Mus musculus: one gene and its partner. The protein of the gene in region 1 purifies or fractionates together with the protein of each later gene. This does not show direct contact. Links are inferred from orthologs where the notes say so. Each region holds a gene or a part of one and is shown in the gene's direction. Other genes may lie near its edges.

Region 1 (2,881 bases):
GTCCAGGAAGTCAACTCCAAAACACAGCTTACCTGCTCTTTGAACAGCAGTGGCGTTGACATCGTTGGCCACCGCTGGATGAGAGGTGGCAAGGTACTGCAGGAGGACACTCTGCCCGACCTGCATACGAAGTACATGTGAGTCCACAGTGCTCAAAGGACCCTGTCCTGATGCTGTCCATGGGGACCTGCCTCCATCCTGACGTGTAGCAGTGCCAGGCTCCACACAGCTCTGGATTGGCTGGGTGGCCTTACCTGTATAGCGTGAGAGAGCCCAAGGCCCTATGATCTGCACAGAGAGCCCTGGTGGGGAGGTGGCCACCATGCCTTGGGAGTTCCTTACCTCACCGAGGCTCTGTCCCCTGCAGAGTGGACGCAGATGACCGCTCTGGGGAATATTCCTGCATCTTCCTTCCTGAGCCTGTGGGCAGAAGCGAGATCAATGTGGAAGGTAATCTGTGGGAGTGGTGGGGGCGGGCCAGGAGGTGGCTGGCGTGAAGGCCAGGGACTGGTGTTGGGGCTGAGAGCAGTCTACAACGTGCTTGGGCATCAGGGTTCTCATCCTCACAGGGCCACCCAGGATCAAGGTCGGAAAGAAATCAGAGCATTCCAGTGAGGGAGAGCTTGCGAAACTGGTCTGCAAGTCCGATGCATCCTACCCTCCTATTACAGATTGGTTCTGGTTTAAGACCTCTGACACTGGGGAAGAAGAGGTAAGGGCTGTGAGGCTAAGGACATGGAGCTTGAGTGGTGCCAAGGACCAGGCTGCAGTGGGAGCATGAGGTTCTGGACATGGGGGTAGGGGAGGCGGCAGAAGGGGCACCGGGTGCTAGGAATGGGAGTGGGGATAAGAGCATCAGAGGGGACACAGGAGAGGACGCTTTGGTGTGGGGATCTGGGACAGTGTAGGACAGACTCTAGCATGACATGACAAGCCCTTCTCCCTAGGCAATCACCAATAGCACTGAAGCCAATGGCAAGTATGTGGTGGTATCCACGCCTGAGAAGTCACAGCTGACCATCAGCAACCTTGACGTAAATGTTGACCCTGGCACCTACGTGTGTAATGCCACCAACGCCCAGGGCACTACTCGGGAAACCATCTCACTGCGTGTGCGGAGCCGCATGGCAGCCCTCTGGCCCTTCCTAGGCATCGTGGCTGAGGTCCTGGTGTTGGTTACCATCATCTTTATCTATGAGAAGAGGCGGAAGCCAGACCAGACCCTGGACGGTGAGCAGTCCTGGGTCTGGGTGAGTGGGTGGGATGCCCTCAGTGTGTCCACCTGGAGGAGAGTGGGGTCTGCTTGTAGCTCACCCTCCTCCTTCCTCCATCACTTGGCCACAAGCTGCTGTCCTCTGGGGAGCTCGCTGTGAGGACTTGGGGCTGTGGGTGCCTCTAGCTGTACACTGCATGGCGAGCTGGGGTAGGATGTGTTGGCCTCACCATGTGTTGATCATCTGATGTACGACACTTCTGCAGCACCATGAGGGTGGCAGTGTGGGGCCAAGTTCACACGAGCCCTGACACATGTCCTTTCTCTTTCATGTGGCTGCTCCTGGCTGCAGAGGATGACCCTGGCGCCGCCCCACTGTAAGTCCAGCCACTGTGGGCTCTGGGGAGCTAGCTGTGTGTCCTATAGAAATGGGGGATGCTCTGGGACTCAATGTGTGTGTCCATCTTTCATAGGCCTCAGTAAGTTCAGGGAAGGTGGATGGCTGCTGTTGAAATAATGGCCAGATTTCAGTGGGGTTGAGGCCAGCCCTGTGCCTGTTAAGAGTAATGAGCCCTGTTTTGTATCCCCAGGAAGGGCAGTGGAACTCACATGAATGACAAGGACAAGAATGTACGCCAGAGGAACGCCACCTGAGTGGTGGGGCAGGCGGGGGAGGGGAGGTGCCCAGGGTGCCTGACCCCAGGCCAGCGTCTACCTCCACTCCAGTATCCCATCCTGTCCCGATTTGAACCTACCCAACCCAACCTATCCCAACCCAAGTGAAGACAGAGCCTTACCTTACAGAAAACCCACCTGGAAGAAGCAAGCCACTTGCAGCCCCTGTTTCTAATTTAAACTAAATGAGGTTTCTATGCAGACAATCCATTCCTTAGGGGTTTATGTTTTTATTTTTCCTTCCCTTCTGAAGTGTTGTCACTACAGCCCTGTGGAGTGGGGGAATGGGGCCTTGTCCTTGGTCAGGAGGGAAGGCCAGTGCATGCTCTGACTTACTGTTGGAGGGGGCTGGGCCTGCTGGAACCCCCCCAAATAAAGACCTACCCCACCATGTGTGTGTCACTACTTGAAACTTCAGGACCCCATCTTAAAGGGAGAATGAGTGTTGAGGTCATATACAGGAGGGGTTGTTGATCAGCACGGCCTGGGGCACAGGTAAGTGCATGGTCCCTAGACCAGTGGTTCTCAACCTTCCTAATGTTCTGAACCTTTAATATAGGATATCTGGTGTGACCCCTTTGAAAAGGTTCTTCAACAGCACCCCCTAGGGGTCCTTAGAAGTTGAACCTGCAGGTACAGCCTTAGTCCTCATGGGTGTCCAAGAAAAGCTGTCTTCATAAGAACACTGCTGACCACCACTGATGTCCTGTACAAGCCTAGTACTGATCTGGCTGGTGGGCACCAGTGGGAAATGGGCAGTCAAGGGACTTGCTGGCTGGTTTTAACTCTTAAATTTTGGGCAGGGGTCAGGACAGGTGTATGTGGTGGTATAGTCTGACTCCAGAGAGACAGCTTTGATCCCAGCAGAGTACATCCCAGAGTGGTGGTGGTTAAGGGAGAGAAGTCGGGGGGGGGGGGGGGGGGGGAGGCGGGGCGATAGCAGACCTTTCTGAAGACTCCCTGAGGTAAAACAGGCCCTCCGCTTCAGGCCAA
Region 2 (3,820 bases), on another chromosome or scaffold:
TGTAGGCCACCTTGTTAACGGAACAGAAGCAAGCAGCGGCCGCCAGTCCGTGTGTGGCTGTAGCTGACACACAGTCCCCTTCAGACGTTGCAGTTTATTAGAAGAAAGGGCCTCAAGGCCATGACTCAGTAAGAGAAGGAGCATCAGGCCCAATCTCTGAACAAATCTCAAGAACAAAGGAAAAAATTAAAAATGGGGGGGACGGGACGACTATGTCAGGAAGCTTCACACTGAGGGATTTAACGTTCAATGTAGCACGCATGATACAGAGCGCTCAAGTCTCTGTGGCCTGCTTCTTAGTTCTCTGTGGGCGGTGGGGTGGGCCTAGTTCTCTGAGTGGAGGTGCAACCTGATCTCTTCGCCTTGTGGAATGCAGCCATTTAAAAGTAAGGATCATCTTTTAGGAGGAAGCGGGCGTTCCTAGCGTACTCTACTCTCTTTTTTGTTTGTTTGTTTTATTTGGTCGGGTTTTAGGGGTTTGGGGGATGGAGGGGTAAATTAAGCTGGGCTGAACTTATGATCATCCTGCCTCGTCTCTTACGTGCTGAAATTACAGATTTATGCCACCATAACCCAGCAAGCCCTCTTATTTATGACTGAAGTTAAATTAGCAACTCAACCCATAGAGGTTTAACAACTAACACAAGGATATGAGTCAGGTTGGTGATGGGCTAAGAATAAAATCTGTATCTTTGATATCTTTGGAACCACTGTGATTAAAGACTTTGTTTTTTAAAAAACAAAACAAACAAACAAAAAAACCCTCTAATGTCATTGTATGCAAGCAACAGAATGGGGAGAAGATTTTAATATAAAGCTTATAGCTTTAAAAATTCTAGAAAGAGCAGAGCAAGCTGACCCCTGTCTGTGTGTCTTGTTGCCCTGGACAGGTCTGATCATGTCTGTCCTCACAGTTGTCATCTTGATTCTGTACTTTGTGGTTGACAATTTCGTGATCCAGCGCCGAGAATGGCTTCCTGAGTGCACTCCTGTCTATATCCAGTATTTTGTCAAGTTCTTCATCATCGGAGTCACTGTATTGGTAGTGGCTGTGCCAGAGGGGCTGCCACTGGCTGTCACCATCTCACTAGCCTACTCTGTAAAGGTAAGCCTGGAAAAATGCTGCTCCTTCGGGACAGAGACGGAAAGGGAGGGGACCTTATACCGTTCGACTGAAGGATAAACTCTTCTGCCCTTTAGACACTTTAGAGAGTCCCCCATGAACAGAAATCCTTAGCTCTGGAAAAATAGCCATTTCCGTTGGTTGTTTAAATAGCTGAGTCAAATCTTCAAGTAATGGTGCAGTGCATCTTTGTGCAGGACTAGAACTCAAGTGAAAAAATGTGGACTAGGACTTAGCCTTCGGCCTGCGCCTGTGGGAACCCCGTTGGTCCTCTTTCAACTCCTTTCTCTTTCCTTTGGTAGAAAATGATGAAGGACAACAACTTGGTACGGCACTTGGATGCTTGTGAGACAATGGGCAATGCCACAGCCATTTGCTCCGATAAGACAGGCACACTGACCATGAACCGCATGACCGTGGTGCAAGCTTACATCGGGGGCACTCACTACCGCCAGATCCCACAGCCCGACGTCTTCCCACCCAAGGTTCTGGAGCTCATCGTCAATGGCATCTCTATCAACTGTGCTTACACGTCTAAGATTCAGGTAAGCTTTGCCATCCATCGCCTGGGTGCCCAGCATGGGTGACGGAGAAGCAATACTCAACTCTGCCAGAAACAAATCTTCTGTTCCACTTACTTTTCTATGGCTGTGCTCGTACACCATGACCAAAGCAACTTATAGAAGAAGGTGTTTAGGGGCTGGCGAGATGGCTCAGTGGGTAAGAGCACCCGGCTGCTCTTCCGAAGGTCCAGAGTTCAAATCCCAGCAACCACATGGTGGCTCACAACCATCCCTTACGAGATCTGACTCCCTCTTCTGGAGTGTCTGAAGACAGCTACAGTGTACTTACATATAATCAATAAATAAATCTTTAAAAAAAAAAAAAAAAAAGAAGAAGGTGTTTAGTGGAGGGCTTACAGTTTCCGAGGGTTAGAACTCAATGACTATCATGACGGGAAACGTGGCAGCAGGCAGGCAAGCATAGCGCTGGAGCAGTTGCTGAGGGCTCACAGCTCCATCCACAAGCAAGAGGCAGAGAGCACACTGGGGAGGACATGAGTGTGTTTGAGACCTCAAAGACCCCCCAACACCCATTGACATACCTACTCCAACTAGGGCTTACCCCCAATCCTTCCCAAACAGTTCTGCCAACTGAGGACCTAGTATTCAAATATATGAGCGTGTGGGGGCCATGCAGGCTCAACCCACCATACCCTCTATCATTCATCGTCTGAGCTGCCATCCTGCATTCTGTTTCCTGTTCCTGACTGAACATGTTCGGGGTAAACATATGGCAGTGTCTACAGCAGAGTTGCACTTACCCAGATTTAATTATTCATTTCCCAGAACCAGGGAATTCTTTAGAATATGACTTCCAGGACATGAGACACCTCATTACCATAGAGTAGCTGTAAGGTCCCAAGACCTGTTTGACTGTGAGACAATGTCACCTTTGAAAGAACAGCAAATGGTGCCTCCCCTGTGGGCACTGGTATACCTACCGAGTTGACCTGCCCAAGTCTTCTCTCTGGTCCAGAGCTCTCACCCATTAATTCTATGTCTGTTTTTGTTTCTGTTTTTCTTTTCTCTCTTAGCCTCCAGAAAAGGAGGGAGGCCTACCCCGACAAGTAGGCAACAAGACAGAGTGTGGGCTGCTGGGCTTTGTCACAGACCTGAAGCAGGACTACCAAGCAGTTCGCAATGAGGTGCCTGAGGAGAAGCTCTTTAAGGTGTACACCTTCAACTCAGTGCGCAAGTCCATGAGCACTGTCATCAGGAAGCCGGAAGGGGGCTTCCGCATGTTCAGCAAGGGCGCCTCTGAGATAATGCTGCGCAGGTGAGCCCCCTTCCTCCCGTTTTCCCCTTTGAGATCCCCATCCCCTCCCAAGAATGTCTGAGGGACGATGCCAAAGCAGGCTGAAGGATGAGTGACCCTGCAGCCCGGTAGTGACATCTGAGCTTTTACTCAGGACAATCATTGCTTTTAGGAACTTTGCTGACTCCTTTAATAAACCCTCACACCTCGGCAAGGTGGTGACCCATTTTGACCCGTTTTACAGATGGGAAATAAACACAGTGAACTTGCACAATGTTCTCAGAGAGAGAGCAGCTAACAGTGCCACAGTCAGGATTCAGCCTGGACCAGCCTGACTCTCCCATTTCCTAGTGAGTTCACAGAGGTAGTCAGGATATGCCCCATGCCACCATGCTCAAAGGAGCTGGTGAGCATACGATAACCATGTGCCTCTCTCCCCAGGTGTGATCGAATCCTGAACAAGGAAGGAGAAATCAAATCGTTCAGAAGTAAGGACCGAGATAATATGGTACGCAATGTCATTGAGCCCATGGCCAGTGAAGGGCTCCGGACTATCTGCTTAGCTTACCGAGATTTTGATGGCACAGAGCCCTCGTGGGACATTGAGGGTGAAATCCTCACTTCGCTGATCTGCATTGCAGTGGTGGGCATTGAGGATCCTGTGCGCCCGGAGGTAAGGCCTGCCCGTTTTTTGAAGTGAAGAGAAAGGGCCAGAAAGCAGGAGCGCTTGTCTCTCCGCTGACCACTGCTTAGGGTCCAGGGTCCAGTGTAAACCACACGAGCCACCTCGGGGGGTCACAGGAAGCAGGTGTGAATTTCTGGCCTAGCCACGACCCCAGACACGTTGCCTAACTACTTGTCACTTACAGAGACAGACGA

What was found.
Region 2: the proteins of Bsg (region 1) and Atp2b4 purify together in Homo sapiens (affinity purification with mass spectrometry; 3 studies listed by BioGRID and IntAct, counting the BioPlex papers as one, with this or other methods). This does not show direct contact. The link is inferred for Mus musculus from reciprocal best matches to the Homo sapiens genes BSG and ATP2B4.

What each region holds. Positions count from the first base shown.
Region 1 is NC_000076.6:79,709,691-79,712,571, forward strand, and holds the end of Bsg (basigin isoform 1 precursor), read left to right. Parts: coding exon 1-137; intron 138-367; coding exon 368-450; intron 451-569; coding exon 570-712; intron 713-947; coding exon 948-1,230; intron 1,231-1,565; coding exon 1,566-1,590; intron 1,591-1,803; coding exon 1,804-1,867; 3' UTR 1,868-2,289; downstream 2,290-2,881.
Region 2 is NC_000067.6:133,729,511-133,733,330, reverse strand, and holds part of Atp2b4 (plasma membrane calcium-transporting ATPase 4), read left to right. Parts: intron 1-890; coding exon 891-1,105; intron 1,106-1,425; coding exon 1,426-1,668; intron 1,669-2,720; coding exon 2,721-2,962; intron 2,963-3,382; coding exon 3,383-3,614; intron 3,615-3,820. UniProt on the Homo sapiens protein: Calcium/calmodulin-regulated and magnesium-dependent enzyme that catalyzes the hydrolysis of ATP coupled with the transport of calcium out of the cell. By regulating sperm cell calcium homeostasis, may play a role in sperm motility.